Linked DNA regions of Notamacropus eugenii. Each later gene encodes a partner of the first gene's protein in a complex. Links are inferred from orthologs where the notes say so. Each region holds a gene or a part of one and is shown in the gene's direction. Other genes may lie near its edges.

The links.
Region 2: the proteins of MED1 (region 1) and RXRA are in contact, whole or in part, in a crystal structure (PDB 1XDK), measured with the Mus musculus proteins. The link is inferred for Notamacropus eugenii from reciprocal best matches to the Homo sapiens genes MED1 and RXRA. Residues at the interface, in NP_001073587.1 of Mus musculus: Asn641, His642, Pro643, Met644, Leu645, Met646, Leu648, Leu649, Lys650, Asp651; in NP_035435.1 of Mus musculus: Phe282, Val285, Lys289, Phe294, Leu299, Gln302, Val303, Leu306, Arg307, Thr454, Phe455, Glu458, Met459, Glu461, Ala462, Pro463.

What each region holds. Positions count from the first base shown.
Region 1 is NC_092873.1:354,982,837-354,993,241, reverse strand, and holds the start of MED1 (mediator of RNA polymerase II transcription subunit 1), read left to right. Parts: upstream 1-5,366; 5' UTR 5,367-5,632; coding exon 5,633-5,657; intron 5,658-10,405. UniProt on the Homo sapiens protein: Component of the Mediator complex, a coactivator involved in the regulated transcription of nearly all RNA polymerase II-dependent genes.
Region 2 is NC_092872.1:486,965,026-486,976,261, forward strand, and holds the start of RXRA (retinoic acid receptor RXR-alpha), read left to right. Parts: upstream 1-6,132; 5' UTR 6,133-6,378; coding exon 6,379-6,457; intron 6,458-11,236. UniProt on the Homo sapiens protein: Receptor for retinoic acid that acts as a transcription factor.

The sequences.
Region 1 (10,405 bases):
TTATCCTGATCTATATCTGGCCACTGAACCCAGATGGCTCCTGAGGAGAAAGTGAGGCTGATGACTTTGCACAGCCCTCCCTTACTTAAATTCAATTCACTTGCATAGCGTGGCATCACCTCCCAGAGTCATGGCGGTCTTCATTCATGGAATGAAGGACAAATAACATCAGTCAATAAGGATTAGTCCACAACTCTCCAGGCAACTTTTCCACCTTGACCTCAGGCAAGGAACCTCCCCCTCTTCCCTTTTCAGATTCCTTTTCTGGATTGTCTTCTCTTATTAGTATGTGACCTCTTTGAGGGGAGGGATTGCTTTTCTTTTACTTAGTCCCAGCATTTAACACAGTGCCTAGCCAGTAGTGTTTAATAAATGCTTTATCTATCAAGAAAAATGACCTCTTTTCAATCTTTTGCACTCCAGTCTTTGTACTGTCTTGTCCATGACAAGAATTTTTTCTACTTAACAAATGGTTAGCAGCTTCTTCTTTTACTGGTCATCTCAATGTCCTCTAACTTTAGCTTTCTTCCAGGTTACTTACTCTTAAGGTCTGCTTTTTTTTTTTCTGAGGATTAATTAAGTTATTTTGCAACAATAGTTTGTCAGTTCCTGGTGTTGTATTTTTTTTTTTAACATTTCCTAGGGCTTCAGTGAGACAGATTCTGTTTTACTTTGGGTTTGAATGATTCTTAAAATGCTTAACTTCACACCAACACCTCCTGCAATACCTCTGTTAGTCACTGAAGTGTGCCCTGTAAGACATTTGTATGTTTCCTTGGAGAAACATTCACTCTTTAAAATCACATAATTAAAACTCAGCAGTTACAGAAGATGAAATCAAGGTGAAGACACCAGCTTAATTTGGTTTCATCTGGTTTAGGTCAGATATTCTGAGTCACTAGTATCAGCAGAGTTGCATGCTCAGTCATAGCTTTCACAAAAATGAAAACACATGCAGATAATTGCTAGTCCCAAATAATTGGCACATTACTCTAGGCGAAGTATACACAAAATGTATGAAAAATAAATAAAAGGTAGTTTTGGGAAGGAAGATACAAGTAGCTGGATGTCATTTTGTGTGAATTCCAGCTGGGCTTCTATGTCTGATGCAAAGAATCACTCAGAGCTCCCGAATTCAGATAAACAATTATTTTATTAAATATCCATTATGGAACATTTACCTCCTTTCATCTACTAAAGAGGCAGAGTGTTATCATGCCTAGAGCGCTGGCATTGAAGCTTGAGAGCTGGATTCAAGTTCTGCCTCAGACAGAAGATGGGCTGTGTGATCCTGAGCAAACTGGAAAAATTTTAAGCAACAAGCTTCTATTTATTCTCTGGACATTTACAATTTTTTTCCAAATATAAGATCATAGTTTTTACATATATTATCCTAGCTTCTTCATGCAAATTGGTGTAGATGTCTAACATTATTTTGTAATTTTGAGAAAATTAGATCATTTATAAATTTTTACAAGTTTTTCATGGGGAAGATAGGAGTTGCTAATATTTTTATGAAGAAATAGGAGTAAAATCAGTTACCGACAACACCTTTTTAATGTTAGAGTATTTTCTTTTGGTTTCATGCTTAAATGGCAATTAGCATGCCCATATCCTCCATTATTTATCTTAGCACTAATGTTCCCAGAAGGCTACATTAAGAGGGACATAGATCCATAAAGCACTTAGGAATAGTTTTACTATATACCTAGTCACTGTATTATAGCTTCCAAGAACAGGGAGGGGATAATATCACAGTCCTCTGCCCTTATCAGACCTCATCTTAAATACTGTAGTACCATGATTTATGAAAGATATCAATATAAATTGCAAAGTGGAGGACAACAGAAATGGAAAGGGACAAATGAAGATGGGCTAAAGGAATTGGACATGTTCAACAAAGGATAAAGGAGAATGGGGTAGGGGTGAAAGGGTACATGAGAACTGGAATGCTACCTTAAAAAATCTGAAGGACCATCTTGAGGAGGAGAGATTATACTCATTACACAGTACCTCCCCTCCAAATAAGAACAATGGGTAGAAATGTCAGGAAAAATTTTCTAACAATTTGATGAATCCAATACCAGAAAGAACTGCTTTGAGAGGTTGTAGGCTCTTCTTCCTTGGAGGTCTTTGTCTGCTATATTAAGAGTACGGATTCTTTTTGTATGAGTTGGACCAGTTAGCCACTGAGGTGCTTTACAACTCTCAAAGGCTGTGAGCTCACTACTAACTGAAGCAATCCATTTCACGTTTTTTCAGGTAATTGGCATTAAGTGACTTACCCAGGGTCACACAGCTAGTGTCTGAGATTCTGATTTGAACTCAGATCCTCCTGATTCCAGGGCTGATGCTCTATCCTTTATGCTACCTAGCTGCCACACCCATTCTACTTTTGAATAGTTGTCTAAAATCTGCCTCTATTACTTTTATACAATTTTTAAAATTTGTTTTCTAAGACCAAAAAAGACCAAGTACAATCCCTCTTCAAATATTTTCTTTTGTCCTCTCTACCTCCTACAAAGTCTTCTCCAGGCTAACCATCTCCAGATGACATTACCTCCTATCTTCTTAGCATCTTCAGCACTATGCTGGTATGCAATTCCTGTCTGTGACCTTCCTAAAACATGTTGCACAGAACCAGTTGCAATATTACAGATAGGCCCTGCCAGGCATACTATGGTTGAATTTGGACACTATACTTCCATTATGCAATATATCATATTTGCTTTTTTAGCTGCTGTCATGATGAGATTTATCTTGGGCTTACAGTGCACTAAAAGGTCCTAAATTTAGTCAGTCATGTTTTCTATAGACTGTAATGGAAGAGTTGGTCTGTTGAATTTGAGTGAAGGACTCTGCATTTATCACATTAAATTTTATCCTATTAGATTTGGCATGGTGAGGCAGTACAGTATAGTGGATAAGAAGGGTGAACTAAAACCATGAAGGTCTGGGTTCGTGTCTTGTCTCTGATATATACTGGCTATGTGACTCATGACAAGTCCTTTAGCCTCTTATTACTCTTGGCAACTCTTCACAACTGCACATTGCAGGGAAGGTGCCCATACATACTGGTAGAGGAGGGGCTCCTCATGCCAATGAAATTCTAAGTCCAGTCCTTATCTTTGTCAGATTATTTTCTTTTCCTAGATTCTGCTCATTGCTCTAGCCTGTCAAGATTTTCTGGGATCCCAATTCTGTCACTCAGCATATTTGCTATCCTTTTCAGCTTTGTGACATTTTCAATTTTACAAGTATGCCATCTGTCTGTCATGCAACTAATAAAAATGTTGAGAAGTAAAAGCTCTAGGATGAAAGCCTGGTGGCATTAACTAGAGTCCCTTCAGGTTGACATCATTCTATTAATAACTATTTGGGGGAAGAGGGAGCAGCTGTTTAACCAGTTCCTGAAACCTTCCTAACTGTACTATCAGGTAGCCCACATCTTTCCATCTTGTTCACAAGCGTATTATTATAAAACACTTTTGTCAAATGTCTTGATGAAATCCTTATATGCTATTTTTATGTCACTTTCTTGATCTATAAACCTTGACCAAAAAAAACCAAGTGAAGTTAATTTAATATAAAATTTTTTCTTAAAATTTTTATTGATATCTTGTTTTTGGATTGCATTCATACTTGATCACAACTGTCCCCTTTTTCTACCCTGTCCCATGTAACAAAGTATAACCCTTTTAACAAAGAATAACGGGAAAAAAGCAGCAAAATAAAACTAACACATACAGCCCAATCTTGTCTGATAGTACATGGTGATCGTTGTTTCCTTCCTAAAGGGTTCATAAGCTAACCCTTTATAGAGTGTTTTAAAATTTTGTCAGAAATGAAAGTCAAGCTTATTGGCCCACAGTATAAGGAATCTAATTTTTTTCTCTGTTTGAAAGCCAGGACATTTGCTCATCAGAAGGCCTTTGGCAACATTCCTTCCTTCCATGATTTTTCAAACATCGCTCAGCAATCATATCCCTTAAATTTTTTCACTACTCCGAGAGGCAGTTTTTTCAAGCCTAGCGATTCGAGGCCAGATAGTTTCTTACATTCTCACTTGAGTTTCTTTCCTTTCAACTATTTTTGCTTAATATTCCAAAGTCTAATGATAATGGCTTTCATATTCAACTATTGTTTTTTCTTTTTAAAAATTTATTTATTTATTGTTGCTTTTTTTTTTCTCACCAAGAAAAATCATCTCCAGGCTGGTAAGTTTCTTTGCCTAAGGAAAAAATCATGAAACTTCCCTGTCAGATTTATTTCCTTAGGAAGGAAAACAGAAAAAAAGAATTGAGTTTTTTGATATGCATCATTACCCTCCCAACTGCCTGCAGAGTGGCCCAATCTCTTTCTTGATTTTCTCTTGGCTCTAATATTGCTTAAAAAGCACTTCTCCACAGGGTATTGACGCACGGACTAATGCATTCTTAATGGAAACAGCTGTCTTATTCTAATATATTTTTATATCAGAACAATGAAGCTGGAGAGAAAAGTGGTTATTCTTAACCTAAGGCTTGTGGGTGATCATGAAAAATAGGGGTGGTTTCTTCATGTAATAAAAACTGCCCTGGACTAGCCATAAGATTTGCATTCAAATTCTGGTTTTACTACTAACTATACCCATGACCTTTGGACACAACCACGAATGGTGGAAAGTGAAAAAGCAGTAATCGGGAGTTACAGCCACTTTTCAAAGCCCAGCTTTGCTCTTTACTATCTGCATGACCTCAGGCAAGTCAAACATTACTAGAATTTAAGTTCCCTGAGGACAAAGGCTAAGTCACTCTTGCACTGGTACCCTCCACCGCCAGCAGTGTCCGGCGCTTGGTATGGGTTTAATGTTGCTGGCGAATCGCTCTAGATTTCAGTTTTGGTGTTTTTTGGTTTCTTTTTTGCAAAGCCAAGGGGTTGGCGTAAATGATCTCCACAGTCCCCCCAGACCTCTCTAGCACCGAGTTCGCTTATCTGTAAAGTGGAGATCACCACAGCGGCCATGCTCTCTGCCTCGCAAGGTCGCCGCACGTTTTATGAAGCACGAGGAACTCTTGGCCACCTCCAAGCCCTAAACACCTAGGAGCTGGGATGACAGCGATGAGAGGATTCCTCAGCTACGAACAAAAAGCCTTAGACGGCAAACTCTCTGGTTGCCAAAACTGGAAAAACGATTTCTGCAAGCGCTTACTTCTTCAAACTCATAGTATTGTCAGCCCTAGGCGTTTTTCCCAACTGTGAAAGCCACTGGAGAGAACCTGCAACTCACAAACCCTAAGAAAGAGGAAGAGGAAGTCGGCGAAATCTCGCGAGACCCTTTCCGCGAGCCTTGTTTGCGTGTTTCTTCTGCACCAGGCACGCATACGTATGTACGCACGCCCGTGCGCCGGCTCCCCGCTGCTCTCGCGAGCCTTGGGGAGGGTCCGTTGGGAAGATGGCGGCGGCCGCGGGCACCCTTCAACTTTTGCCGCCGGGCGCTTCGGACTGAGCCTCCCGGAGGCGGGGGGCGGAGCGGGCGGCCCCGGAGCCCAGCGCCCCGGGAAGCCTGAAGCGGCTCGGCCCCCCGCTGGTGGGTGGGGAAGGGTGTCTCCCGTTGTGTGGCGGGCGAAGGCCCTCCTTCCCCGCCTCCGGGATGAAGGCTCAGGGAGAGGCAGAAGGTTAGTGCTTGGGGCCGAGGGGAGGACGGGCCCGGTCGGGCGCGGAGACACAGGTTTGGGGTCCTGCTGGAAGCGGGTGGACCCCTCTCAGGTTGGCAGAGCCCTTGCCGTCCCCTGCTGTAGGCGGCGGGCCGGAAACGGGAGGAGAGGCGGTCCGCGTTGCTGCTGACGTCCTGGCGGGGGGTCGTCAGGGGAGTGGCTGGACCTAGGTGGCCTCGAGGATCCTCTACCTGCAAGCCCGAGTAAACTCTTTGTAAAGGAGAAGCAGAAGGGCATCATGGATGTTCAAGAAATAACAGACGTGCCACAAACCCACGAATAACTGCTGTTCCGATCCAGAGGCTAGCTTGTAGCACGAGCAGCCCTCCGATCGAGCGTGGGGTTCGCTGCTTTTTTTTGAAAAAAGTCTATTAAGTAGCACGAATAATAGCGCTTTAGAGCTTGCGGAGCACTTGGCTAGCTTCATCTCATTTTCGCTTCACCACAGCCCTGGGAGGTAAGTGGTGATTCCCACTTCTCCGACTGGAAAACTGAGGGAGACACTTCCCGTGGTTTCCTTAGAGTCCCGGAGATCTAGTAATGGCCAAGGCTTAGGTCCTTCCACCCTGTGCACTGCACCGGCATTGATAGAGTGTAGTGATGTTTGCAGAACTTGCGTACGTAGGTTTTCTCGTGCTTAACCCTAACAACGTTTCTGGGAGGTAGGTCCTGTTATTATCTCCATTTTACAGAAGAGGAAACTGAAGCTGAGGGAGATTGACTTTCTCAGGGTCATCCAGCTAGTGCACAGAATTTGAACTTACTCAGGTCTTCCTGACTCCGGATTCAGTGTTTTATCCACCATGACACCTAGCTGTCTATGGTCTTTAGACTTTGTTTTGATACAGTGGATACTTTCCAACAAATATCCGGATGACATTCCTGCTCTTACTTGTCTTTTTGCTGCCCACCCCCATATTCCTTATTCCTCTAGTTGTCAGTGCTTTCCCCTGTTACTTTGTATTGTTTTATACTTGCTTGTGTTGTTTCTCTATAGTAGAAAATAAGCTCCTTGAGAGTATAGGTTGTTTCTGTTTGGTCTTGGTTTCATTTGGTCTTCCTAAGCATTGAGCACTGTGATGCTATAAATACTTATTGGATCAAATGACAAGGTACATTCTCTCAAAACAAAACCATCTAATAATAGCATATCCTTCTTAAAACCATCTAATGTAGATGCTATTATTATCTTCCTTCTAAAGAAACATATGGTCTAGAGAATAGAAAGCTGGCCTCAAAACTGGAAAGACCTGGACTCAAGTCCTGTCTGTTACACATGCTAACTCTGTGACCCTGAGAAAATCACTTCATCTCTTAGTACTCCAGGCATCCACAAGTTGCAGAGAAGGTGTACTAACTTGATTTGCTGGAGGGAGTTTTCCTATCTGGGAGTTTCCTCTACTAGTGAGATCACTGGTCCGGTTCCTGTCCCTTTGCAGATGAGAAAACTGAGACTCAAAGAGGTTAAGTGACTTGGTTGCCTTTATATAGCTAGTACCTGAGGCTGGATTTGAGCATATGTTTTACTGAAATCCAGCACTCCATCCATGATTTCTCAGTGCTTCTTGAGAGATGACACAGACTCCATTTACAATTTAATGAGGAGAAAGGCCAAGTGTACACCTCTGGTACCAGGTCTGGTAAGATTCAGTTCCACAAAAACTCATCAAGAACATAATATTTATCAAGGCAATGTGTTGTGTACTTTTTATATAGAGACAAAATGAATGTTATTCTACTGGGAGAAGCTGTATATACACATATATGCAAACATATGCACACGTGCACACACAAACACAGACAAATAAATGCAAAAATATAATAGCTAGAGCTTCCAAGAAGCAGCATTAAGAAAGGGCAACATTCCATACATAGGGAGGAATGTCAACATCCTGTACAATGTGGGAAAAGGATTGTGACAGTCTGGTAAAATATGTTGAAGGCAGAGTGAAGGACACTAAATGTCCTAGAGACAATAGGGAGCCATTGAACTTTCTTGAACAAGAACGTGACATGATCAGATCTGTGCTTTTGGATTGTTAATTTGGTAGCTGTGTAGAGAGGATGGATTGGAGAGAAGAAATGGAAAATAAGAAGAATAGTTAGGCTATTGCAGTAGTCCAGATTAGAGAAAGTGGGAGCCTAAATCTGTCAACCAGCAGGCATTTATTAAGTGCGTACTCTGTGTGAGACACTGTTAAATACTGGGGATTTAAAGGCAAAATTGAAACACCCAATATCCTCAAGGAGCTAATTTAGAATAAGTTGAGAGAAGAGGACATATGTGAAAAATGGAAGCAAAGTTGACAAGTTGTAGTAGCTGACTTAATATGGGGAGCAAAATCAAGGATGATGCCAAGTTTGGGAAATTGATTGTTATAGAGGAATTATGGTGCTCTTGAAAGAAATAGGGAAACTGGGAGAAGGAGGGATGGATTTGTTAGGGAAGAAGATAATGAGTTCCATTTTGGACATTTTGATAATAAATGTGAGAGACCCAGGCAAAGTATGACAAGAAATTTGAAGGGGTGTTCACTTTCACTCAGAAGTAGAGAGGGAGAGAGAGAGAGAGTGAGCAAGAGCAGAAAAAGTGCCATATGAGAGCTGGCAGCTGAGTTCCTTAAGACTGATGCTGGGGCAACTTAATTCCAAGTATAGGGCATTGACTAAAGCATGAAAACAGGAGAGTGCATGGTGGAGGATGCAGAATGGGAGATAGAAAGTAGTTCAGTTTGATTGGAATATGACATTTGTGAAAAATCATGCCTAGACAGTATGAGCTAACATTATTGAAGCTTTTTAATACTTAGGAAGGCACTTTTCTTTCAGTAACTTTGTGAAGTAGATAGCACAGGTACCTACCTAAATATTTCCTAAATATTTAGAGTATCTGGGATACCAATTTGAGAATTAAGAATTGAAGATCTTGAAGAACAAGAGAAGACAGTGTTCTCCTGTCACTTGTTTGGGCTAAGATAGATAACAGGATAAGCCAAATGACTCATACATCAGATGACAATGGACAAGTAAACAATGCTAGGTTGTGAAAGTTCTTTAACGTCAGGGTCAGGAATTTATGCTTAATTTAAAAAAATGTTTATTGATTTTTTTTTTGGTTTTGCATTTGTAATATATTACTGAATATATATTCTCTTTATTCTGCCACCTACTGGGTCCTCCCTTGTAACAAAAAACAGTTAAATAAAAACACACACCAAATCCAATTGCATATATAGCTTTCACAGCAATAGTCCCCCTAACAAAAGGATGGAGATATCTATATTTGTCTCTTCTCTGGGGATAAAATTGATCATTACAAGTACATATCATTCACCTTTTTTTTAGTATCATTTTTTTATGTTATTGTAGTTCACATTTTATTTGGAAGGCCACTGAAGTCTTTTAAATACAAGGCATAATATGATCATAGAGGTGTGTTAGGAAAATTAATAGGTTAGTGTGGAGACTAGATTGGACATGAAATAGTTTGGAAGCAAGAAGTTAGGATCCAGTTTTGATCATTTAGGTGAACAGAGTTTTGGCTGTGGTCAGGGAAGAGAAAAGTACCCTGATGAGAGAGATTGTGGAGATAGAAATGACATGACTTGTCAGCTAACTGGATATATAGGGGATGAGGGAAAGAGAAAAATCAAAGATGACACCAGTCTGGCATACTAGAAGAAAAAGGTGTTGATGTCAGTAGAAATAGAGAAGTTAGGGAGAGTTGGAGGTTTGGGAAGAGGGGAGAAATGATGAATTCAGTTTTGCACATGTTGAATTTGAGATCTTGGTGAGATGTACAGATCAGGGTAGCCAGCATCCAGGTGGAATAGGAGCTGTGGGGGAGGCAGTATGAGGAGGAAAATTGGGCTTGGACATAATAGTGGATGAGGTCACTCTAGGAATACAGGTGATTGAAAATTTTTATTAGTATTCAGGAAACTTTTCAATGTAGGGCATGACTTTCAGGTCTCCTCTATATGAAAGCACTGTTTGATCTTGGTTATTTTGGCAGACCAGGCAAAGAAGAGGTATTTTAGGTGGAAAAGAAGTAGACTTTTTCTGATGAGAGGGAATAAGTATAGAGTCTCCAAGATGGAAATGGGTGAAAGAAGTGTGGAATACTAGCTTGCTAGAGTAGAGCCTGAATAGTTTAGAAAGTAGGGAATAAAGTGAATTAAGGTTCTGTATAGGAGTTGCACTTGGTAATGATTTCTTTTTCTTCCTATCCTTTGGTCCTTTATCTTAATTGAAGTGAACTTTTTATTATCTCTGCCATCCAGTTATCTTTCAACAGATTATATTATATTGAGAATAACACTTTGAAAAGTGATCCATATAAAATTGAACTCTGACAACATTCCCTTTTCAGCCTTCATTCCTAGTAGCTTGACTATGCCTTTCCCATCCATCTCCTCTTCACCTACAAAGCCACTACTCTAGGTCAAATATTCCTCTCCTTTCATCTGGGCTGTTGTAGTAGCCTCTTTATTATTCTTTCTGCTTCTAGTTTCACTTCTCACCAATCCATCTTACACACAACTGCCATATGAATCTTCCTAAGACATGGCATGACCATGTCTCTCCCTTCACCAAAAATCACTATGTACCAAGACTTAGTAGAAAACAACCAAGAAGCCTCTCTGCAAGAAGTCTTTCTCAGTTCTCCTTAATTTTTGTGCCTTCCCTCTGAGACTGTTCCTAATTTA
Region 2 (11,236 bases), on another chromosome or scaffold:
ATGATTCCTTTTCTTCCTCCCTCTCTCCCTCCCTCTCTTCCTTCCTTTCTCCCTCCCTCTTGCCCCCCAAAGAACTTACATTTTAATGGAAGAGACAGCATGACTATAAATCAGCACCTACAGGGTAAATACAACATTGATGAAAGTTAGATTTGGAAATTAACTATGTAGCTCTTAGGTTGTTAGGTTACTTTTCCTACGTATTAGGTCAATCAATCAATAAGCATTTATTAAGCACCCACTACATGCCAGGCAAAGAATAAAGCAATTCCTGTTCTTAAGGAGCTTGCATTCTACCAGGGAAGACAAAATGTATATATATAATATGTGTATACATATAATGCAACGGATACCATATTGAATCATTATCAACCATTGATAGCATAGAGGTCACTTTATCATACTGAGGGGGTAGGACAAAGGATGAGTTTAAGTTGCTAAAAAAAATGTGTAAGGCACTGTTCCAGGTGCTGAGGATACAAAGAAAAAGAAACAGCTCTTGCCTTCCAATAACTTCCATTCTACTAGGGTTCTCTGACTACTGCTCATGAATTTTGTGCCTGTGGCCTTTCTCCTTCTGCTAGAACAGAAAGTCAAACTGAGTTTTTGCAAGTTTTTTGGGGATGGGGAGAGGGAGACATAAAACATCATACTTCTTCAACTATTCACCTTGTCAAAGAATCAGCAAATTTCAGAGTTGGGAGGTACCTTAAAAGCCATCTAGTCTAAATCTATGTCTGAACAAGAATCCCTTCTATGACCTACCTGACAAGTGGGCATCCAACCTTTGCTTGAAGAATGCTAGTAAGGCAGAAGCTAGCAGAACTCTTAATAGACCGGGGTGACTGGTACCTTGCCCCAGGCATAACATTTACAGAACTTTTACTCCTTCAGAAATATAGAAACAAACACTCAATGCCTAGTTCTCAAGAATGATGTAAGTTACCGAATGGCATCAGCACATCTCCTCTTCCCTCCCCCAACAGCTCCACCACAGGTAAGCACCCCTGGACAATCTGTTCTCTCCAGTCCACCCTCCCCAATAGTTGCCTCAAGGTATTTTGGGGTCTTTGTCTTGCTCACACAGGACAGTGAATCTCTCCCTTCTCAATTTTAAAAGCTGATTTGAGGGTACATTTCATACCATTTGCCACAAGTACAAAAAATGCCAGTTACAGTTCTGGATCCCATTCCCTATTTTGGGAACCCATTCCACTCTATTCCTGGTACAGAGCTCTGATGGATTTACAACTAACCTGGATCAATGAGATTTTCAAATCAAAAGGCAAACATTGTCTCCTACTCTAATCTCTGTCTCCCACTGCATCTTTATTATACCCTGGAATTTAGCTGGAAACTCTCTCAATTCCTGCTCATCTACACATTGCATCTCATTGCATTGTATTCTATTTATTACTTTGAAGGTGAGTTTAAGCTACCTGAGTGTTGGTAGCTGTAGGGTCCTCCTCTCATGTGGCATCTGCGAGCATCCAGGACAGAGCTATTTGTGCAGTGAGGTAGGTCCCTGGTTCATGCTATGGACATATTTGTAGCCACTACCCACTAAGAGTACAAGTCATACTTCAGTGCTCAAAGAAGACACCTGCAACCAACTCCTTCCCCGACTCCCTCCAAAGGCTTGCAATGTTGCCATATCTCAGAAAAATCACCATTTTCCTTGAACCTTAGATTCCCTTCCTACAATCATCTGGCAGAAGAGCTAGGATAAAGAAAGCCTCTGAAAGCTGAGACCTCTTACCTCCTAATATCTCTTCCTAATTTCTTCTGATTAGTGCCCAGCTTTAGCTATGCACCAGTCTCAGACTCCCAAGACACCATCTCCAGCCTCTGCTGGCTCATGATTGCTGGGCACCATCTCCCACTAGGCTTAAGCTGGAATGGTGAGACCCAGGCAGAGTTTCCCAAGCTTGACTGAAGAGTCTTCCTTCCCACCCTAACTTCACCACATACTTGAAGCCTTTGGACCACTTTATGGGACTCAGTTTCCCCCTGTGATAAAATGAAGGTGTTAGTCTAGAGGATCTAATTCTCTTCAAGCTCTAACATTTTCCATTTCTATGGTTCACCCATTGATAAAGACCTAGGGAGGGATGATACTAGGTACTGAAGGATATATAAAGATGGATAAGATATGGTCCTTACCCTGAAGGAACTCCTAGTCTATTATGAGAGATAAGAGTGAGAAACAAATAACTGGGGTGTGAAACAGTCTGATATACATATATAAATAAAGATAATAAGTACTAGAGGACAAACCAGGAAACCTCACAGAAATTGCATGTGAAATTTTTTCTTACAGCACTCATTGATTCATTTGTACCCATACTCTCTAAATCCCTTGTCTCTCTGAAGTACATGTTAACCTGTTGATATATCCTTCTAGGAAAAGGGCTTCACAGTGCCTAGTCTTGGGAGTGGGGGCTTCAGGTGACTCATCCCTATCTGTGGGCTTCAGTATTTCAAATCTTTGTTGTAAAATGATCAAATTGGTCAATGAGTCAAGTGCTTACCATGTACCAGAGGAAGCAGACAAAAAAGAAATAATGCCTCCCCCTCCAGCAGCTTATGTTCCTTCAGGGGAAGCAACATGGACATATATAAATAAATACAAAATACATACCAAGTAATTTCTGTGACTGGTAGATTCAGTAGTGGTCTCCTGAAGAAGAGAGCTTTGAAGGAGAGATGGCAATGAGGAAGAAACAAAGGCACGAAGACATAGAGAATGCTGCATGTGACCAATTGTGTCAGACCACAGAGTCAAAGAGAATAATGTGTAATAATCCTGGAAAGGTAAACTGGAGTCAGATTGTGATGTGTTTTTAATCCTGAGGAATTTGTTTTATCCAAGAGGTAATAGGAAGCCAGGGCAGCTAGGTGGCGCAGTGGATAGAGCATCAGATTTGGAATTAGGAAGACTCATCTTCATGAGTTCAAATCCAGCCTCAGATACTTACTAGCTATGTGACCCTGGGTGAGTCACTTAACCCTGTTTGCCTCAGTTTCCTCATCTGTAAAAATGAGCTGGAGAAGGAAATGGAAAGCCACTCCAGTGTGTTTGCCAAGAAAACCCCAAATGGGGTCATGAAGAGTCAGATTTGAGTGAACAACTTTTGGGTCAGAGCTAGAGGTAGCTAGGTAGCACCACACATAGCATGATAGGCCTGGAGTCAGGAAAACCTGAGTTCAAATCTGGCCTTAGATACTTACTGACAGTGTGATCCTGAATAAGTCACTTACATCTGTTAACCTCAATTTCCTCAACTACAAAATGAGGATAATATCAAAGTTGTTGTAAGGATCAAATGAGATGATATTTATAAAGCACTTAACACAGTGATATCCCTTAATAAATACTTATTTCCTTCTTTCCAACTGTGTTTTTGAAGAGTACTCCTGGTGTCGAGGGAGGGGGATATGGAGATTAAGGGAGGCTTCACGAAGTACTTACCATTTGAACTGACAAATAGTGGCTCCCCTGAGTGAGCCAGGACTGCTGCTATTGTCCCCTGAGATCAGATGATCAGGGGATTTGTACCTAAAAGGAATCCTCTACTCCACAGATTCTTAACCCTTTGTGTGTTATGACCTCTTCTGGCATTCTGGTGAAACCTATGCATCCCTTCTCAGAATATTTTTTTTAAAGTTTATAATTCAAGAAAATTCCAAATTTTGGAGTTCATTGAAAATAAAGATGTATTTTTCCCCACCCAAGTTTATGGACCCTGTGAAATCTGTGTACTCTTTGAGCATTCATCCCTTGAATAATATGAATTACCATTCATATTATTATTAATACTTAATATTTAAATAGAATGAATAACAATTCATGCTCCTTCAGCACTCTAAGGTTTATAAAACACTGTCCTCACAACAACCCAAAAAGGTCAATAGCGGGAGCATTCTTACTCTTACCATTTTACAGATGAAGAAGTAAAGGCACAGAATAGAGGCAAAGTAGCTCGCCACAACTAGTAAGTACCAAAGCCAGGGTATGAAACCCAGATTTTTTCATTCTGAGGCTAGGCTAGTCTTTTTCCCAACCACATCAACTCTGTCTCTTTGCTTCCTGGAGGAACAGAACTTTGAAGGAATCTTAGGATTTGGAGAAGCAACAGGAGAAGCAGCTGCCTCATTTATCTTTTCTCTGCTCCTCTTGGACATGTCTCTCCTCTCTCTTGCTACACATCCTTAGGTTACTGTGTTTTCCACAGCTTTCTATGCCAGAGGAGAAGGGTGGGGTGTGAATGAGGTAGCCCTCCCTCTCCTCAAGCATTGCTACTTAATTGGACTAATTTGGTTGCTAGACTCATAAAATGGCTGTCTCTTTCATGCAATACAGTCGGTTTCCATATTGGCTACTTACAGGGTTCCCCTTGGAGCCAAATGGCAGGGAACTCCATTTCTCAAGCAGGCCCCAAGAGAATTGGCTCATTATTGGCCTGGAAGAATTTCCACCAAGTAAAGTTCTTCTTGGAGTTGGCAGCAGCACAATTAAAAATTTCACCCATTCCTTCCAAGACAAAAGAAAATGCACACACACACATACATATACATATATACACACATGCATTTGTAGACATATACACACATGTACACACATACACATCTGTGCATAAATACAAATACATGCATACATATGGAAGATGCTCCTTTTATACCCCACTCTAAACCCCACCAACATACGCCATACAGCTTCAGCCCAAGCCAGATAATAAAGTGTTGCTGCTGTTCAGTCATTTTTCAGTCATGTCCAACTCTTCATGACCCCATGTGTAGTACTTCTTGGCAGAAGTACTTGAGTCATTTGCCATTTTCTTCTGCAGCTCATTTTACAGATGAGGAAACTAAGGCAAACAGGATTAAGTGACTTGCTAAGGGTCACACAGCTAGTAAATGTCTGAGATCAGATTTGAACTCAGAAAGATGAGTCTTCCTGACTCCAGGCTTGGCATTCTATCCACTGGGCCACCTAACTGCCCCAGATAGCAAATGGTTTTCTGTTATTCTACCATTTATTTGGCCATATATGTGTTTGATATTGAGGGGAATTATATTCTCCCCCTTATCCAAAATGATTCTTCATTCTTTCCTCTCTGGTTTCATCCTTCTTTTCAGATTTCTTCAAACTAGGATATTCAATGTACTTGGAATCAGGTCTTAGCTCTAGCTTGGTCCCTAAATCACTATGATTTTAGGGAATTCACTACTCTGAACCTCAGTTCCCTCATCTGTAAAGTGAAGATGTTGAAGTAGGTCTCTAAGGACTCTTCCAGCTCTGACAATGTATCTTCTAAAGTCCCTCTGAGCTGTGACATTCTATGTTCTGTATTCTAAATTCCCTTTGAGCTCTAACCTTGCATTGTTCACAAGCATAGGGAGAGTGAGGAGCAGCAGGGAAGATTTCATCCTTTTCCGGGCACATAGATGTGCTGCACTAACAGATCTGGGAGATCTGGATTGAGGTTTCAGTATTGCCTCTGGCTTGCTGCATGACCTGAGGAGCAACTATTAGTCTCGCTTTTCTTCATTTTGATCATTTGTCAAATGGAGGCGTTGGATTTCCCCCTCAATGGGGTTCTACAGGGAGATGATCTCTGAAAAAAAAAAAAAGTCCTTGGAAGGAAGGTTGTTGAAGACTCCAGATTATACACACTAATTTAGACAAAATGGCAGCCCATGTTCCTCTCCCCCAGCAAAATCAAGAGTCCCCATTTTCTAAGAAGAGTCCAGAGATGTCCTGGTTTAACTGGTACTACTTACAGATGGTTTTCCACTAGGTTGTGACTCCTGGTTTTAGCCCAAGTACAGAGAGGGTGTGTTCCCATCTTTCCAATGCCTGAGAATTACTCATTTAAAATTCATTTCAGTGGACTTTTTATATACCTATTTTATGTCTGTTTATTTAAGTTACTATGGTAGTGTCTCATGAATGATATTTAAGGAGAAACTTGGGCTTTCTAACTCAATTGCTGTAATTTTCCTTTAAAATTTCTCTCCTCCTACCTCCCCTGTCTCCTTTTGGAACAGGAGTCTGGTTGGACTGGACTGGGCTTCAGTTCAGGGGAGGAGAGAGTGCCCAACATGTGATCTGGGAATTGGGAATTTCGGAACAAAATCCCAGCTAAATCTCTCTGTCATGTCTTCATTTTTTCCCCCTTTCCCTCTCCTCTCTCCTTGTTAAAACAACATCTTTGGAGACTTAAACAAATCAGTGGAATGATTTTGTTCCCTTGCCTTTCTCCTGACTTTCTGAAGATCATTTCCCCCTCCCCCCCACCCAAATAATCCCTCCTCTTTCCTTTCCTCCTCTCTTCCCCCTCCCCTTCACCCAACTCCAAGTCAAGGGACCTTCTCATGCCTTCTGTTCGCCCCTACCTGGACCAGGTGCTCCTGAAGGAAAATATGGATAGCTTTTGTCTTGGCTTTGGACTGGGTAAGTTTTGGGTTTTTCTGCTTTTACTGGCTTTCAAATGGACAACTCCATCAGTGCTGCAAAGCAGGATGCACATGGACTACAAACCTGAAGGTTTTCCATGCATCTGTCTCCTATGAATGATACCTAGATAAAATAGCAATGGCACAAGAGTCAGAAGAACTGGGTTCAAATCCCAGACCAGCCCCTTGTAACTGTATCTTTGGGGAAGTCATTTGACTGTCCTTGGGACTTAATTTGATCTTCTGTAAAATGAGAGGGTTGAATTCCATGACCTCTGAGTTTCCTTCTGGATCTAAATCTATGATCCTATGTTATTATTAGGATTCCTAAATGAAAACTTAGGGCAATGGGAATAGGAACAGGAAGGGGGAAATTTAGGGAAGAAGAACAGTGGGGCAGAGCATATTCAGGGCCAGGATGATACTCCCTAGATGGGACTGTAATTTACAAACAATTTTTTGGTAGGCTCTAGGAGCTTTGCACTTTTATACTTTTCCCCTAAAGTTTTGTATTTGTAGGTAAATATTTGCTTCGCATTAGGCAGTACCATAGTCCATTGGTGAACCCATTTTTCTAACTGGTAAAACAAGGCAATGAAATAGTATCTAAACAACCTCCAGGTGGTAGCAGAGCCAGGAAAGACTGCTCCTGTGGTCCAGGCTACAGAAGTCAGAGTCCCTTAGGATTAAAAGCATTCCAAGACGCACAAGGTATGACTAGGTACAGAAGGACCAAAATTGGCCTAAGAGAGCTAGCTCTTCAGCAATATCTTCAAACATGACACATCCAATTTGGAGTATTGCTCCGCAGAACCAGCAAGACATTCAGGTCCGTGCTTTCTCTAGCTTTGTTTCTCCCTCCTCAAGACTACCAAATCCTAACATGAGGCTTGGGGCCTGGAGGGACTTGGAAGGGAAATTTGCAGGAGAACTTGGTCCCCAGACCTAATGTATTTTGCTCCAAACACATTTCCCCTTGATTTTTAAAACCCATGTCTGGATTGCAGAGTCCATCCGTCTGTTTTTAATTTATTCACACTAAACTCATCAGAATGTGCTTGGGTAACCACAGTTTGATGTCACCAAATGCTGCTAAACCTCCTTTTGCCTTTTATCTGAGGAAGAGGAAGCCAGGATTGTGCCAAAAGAAAACAGGATGAGTCAACCCTCACAATCCAAGTTGAAATTGACATCCAAGTCCAAGTGGTCTCAAGATTCAATGTAAGGCATTCCCCAGGCTCATTGGAAGTCCTTTATTAGATATCTCAGGCTTATCAATGCTGCTGGTGAAATTGTACTTGAATAGTGGATAGATGGATAATTTTAAAAAGCAATGATGATGATGATGATATAGCATTTATATAGCACTTACAGGCACTGTGCTAATCTCTTTATAAATATTATCTCATTTGTTCCTGAAAAGAACCCTGGGAAATAGGTGCTGTTATTATCCCTGTTTTATAGTTGAGGAAACTGAGGTAGACTTAAGTTTAAGATTAAGTGACTTGTCCAAGGTCACACAGCTCCTAAGTGTCTAAAGTTGGATTTGAACTTGGGGCTTCCTGACCCCAGACTTGGCACTCTGGCCCAACATAGGTGTTGGCTCTTACCTCCACTATCAGTGTTTTACAGTGGTTCACTGCACTTGGCCAGGGAGTATTCAGTACCAGCTGCAATCAGGCTTCTCTCAGATCTTATAGAATCCAATTCCAATACCAGTTCTGTCCTGTCTGGGGTGTGAGGAAAGGTTATTTTATGGGAGATCATGCATTTTCCTTGCAATGGTACCCTGGGGCATTTGGTGGGTAAACCTGGAGAGCCATAAGCTCCATGTAGGCATCAGGTTAGGGGGTAGACCCCAGGTTGGAAGGTGGTTGCTTCTTTCTTATTATTTATTGTCAGGATGGCAAAAGGCAGATCATGTGAAGGGGGATTGTGGTGGCACATATGAACAAAGTTCAAAAGAATCACCCAGATGATTGAATTGGTGAGGGAAGTAAGCAGAGATTGTCAGGATAGCACATTAAGAGGGAGGTAGCAACTCCAGATCAATGGGCCTACTCAGGGGCTGGGAACCTGCGGCCTCAAGACCACATGTGGCCCTCTACGTCCTCAAGAGTGGCCCTCCAACTTGGATTTAGTCAAAGGGCTACCCTTGAGAACCTAGAGAGCCACATGTGGCCTTGAGGCTGCAGGTTCTTCACACCTGGCTTAGCTCCACCTACCACCATCAACTGAAGGTCTTACAATCAACAGCTATGTTACAGGATGTGCCCAAATCAGTTCTTTCCAAGCGCCAAGACAGATACTTTGCAATGAGCAGCATCGTTTCTATATCTACATATAGGTAAATGAAAACTCAAACACTCTTAAGGCAGCTGTTTGCAGTTCTTGATTGCCAACCTCAATGAAAATGCATGAATACTTTGGCTCTGTCAGCGGATAAGGGTTTACCAGGGAATGAGGTATAAAAAGGTAGGGGTAGGTGTGTTTTACTTGGAAAGGGCATGTTTCAAAGTCCCACAGCTAGGGAGAGTAGGGAAGAGGGAAATTTTGTCAGATGTAACAAAGCCCGAGGCCTGGGACACTGCTCCATGGTCTGATTTCCTGGGGAGAGCCTCTTAGCCTAGATGGGGAAAGTCATCAGTCAGTCCGTTGTTATTTCTTTCAATTCCATTCCCCTACCCCCATTCTTCTTTTGCTTCAGTATGGGCAGCTGCCACGTCTGTCCTGCCCCACCCTCCTTTCTGTTCTTCTGTCAAAAGCTCTTGAGTTGGAGGGAAATAGATCCTGACAGCCTCTGTGCGAGCTTGGGCAATGAACTTGGGTCCCAAAGAAATAACTTTACCCTATGTGTCTGGAGCCAGGAGATCATTAAGAGGAAATGTGAGATCTAGTGAGTCAGAACTGGGACCTGCAGGGGTCGGATATATGTCGTCACTCAAGAAATCCCTTCCCATTCTTACTGTGATTTGGAAACTGATTCTTTGGCTGTATCCTCCTCCCTTCATTGCTTCCCAACCCCAATTTCACTAAACTCTGTGTTTCTTCTCAGGGTGGGCCCCAAGGCAGCTCTCTATTTGTCCTCTGAAGGCTGCACTTTAATAGGAGCCTTGGAGGAGGTGGGGGAGTGATCTGAAGGCCCTCTACAGGCTGTGTCCTGTGAACATCTGTGATGGCATCCTCATAACAAGGAGAATTGTCATGCCTCAAATTCCTGGAGTGCTTTGCCCCTGAAAATTTCCAAATAGCTTGAAGGTGTGGTTCCATGAGTTCACAAAGATCCCCCATTTTACAATTGGGAAAAAAGAGATCTAGAAAGAGTAAGCTATGTGGCCATGGTCCCAAAGCAAGGAAGAAAAAGAACCCAGAGATTGGAGACCTATGCTCCTTCTGCCAGAAGACACTGTGTCTCAATATCTTTGTGAGGTCAGAAAGAAGAAAAGACCTTCTAGCCTGGCCTGAGGGACATGAATCAAATTCTAAATTTCCTGGCTGCAGGAAAGAAAAAGGAGATGCTCATAGTTATCTGAAGCCCCACTAGAGAGGGGAGATTAAAGGGGAGGTTCATGAGTGAAGTTCATTTCCTTTATATCCTGAAATCCAGCTTTACCTCCTAGAAAAGTGAGACTCTTCTGGATTCAGACTCTACCCTCAAAAGAAGATGTCAGCTCAATGCTTCACTGCCCCTCCCCGCAAAGGTGCCTTCTTGTCCGCCCCCCCGCCCGCCTTCTCCACCCAGTGCAGGGGCCAGCTCAGGGGTGGTGAAGAGGGGAATTGGACAGAACATCAACCCATAGTTTTCTGGCCAGACACTTGCAGAATCAAAAGATTGATCGGAATTGGGTCCCAATTCAGAAGAATCTCCATCTCTTCCTTGCCCCAGCCATTATGTCATTTGGGCTGGGCTGGCCAGATACTTAGGCTGAGTCAGTATCTCCCGAAGAGGTGCCATTTGAGGGGTGCTGAAAGGCCCCTTACTTCCAAATATTTCACTCTCCAGGTCTGCTGGAAAACCTAAAATTTCCACAATTTGAACTAAGGCACCAGGTCTCTAAAAAGCCTCTTAAAATGTAAATGTTATTGAGAAAAGGTCATATTGAGGGCAGAGTGGACTGGCTTCACTAGAGCACCCTGTCTCAACTCTTTTCTACAGCCTTCAAGTCAGGGACCAAAGTGCTAATGCCCTACCGCTCTGGTTAGCTACTGACCACTCAGAATTAGGCCCAAGACAAACTGGGTTAGGAGGCCTTGAGAGTCTTCACTAAGAATCAGGGCTGACAGGGGCATGACCCAAGCCAGTCTGAGTCAGAAACCAAGGAGAGTCACGATAGGAATAATCATGGCTAGTATTTATAAAGCACTTTACGTATGTTATCTCATTTGATTCTGAGAACAAGCCTGTGAGGTAGGTGCTATTATTATCCCCATTTTCCAGATGAGGAAACAGGCTGAGACTAAGTGTCTTGCCTGTTCAGTGTCACCAAGCAATTGTCTGATGAGAAAATCAAACCCAAGTCTTCCTAACTCCAAGTCCACTAGTTCAACTAGTGCTCCACTCTGCTTCCTTAGAAGGGAAGAAGGAAGAAGCGGGATCCGAGGAGAACAGGTTGGAAAGTTCTGGCACAGAAGCTGAGTGCTAACAGGTCAATAAATTATGCTGAAGGGACCTTCCTGAGAGATGCAGGGACTTCTGAGAATGGTTGGTTACCTCACTTCACTTTCAGCATACTCTACACATCCCTTAGCTTACAAAAGAGAATATTTAGGATGCTTG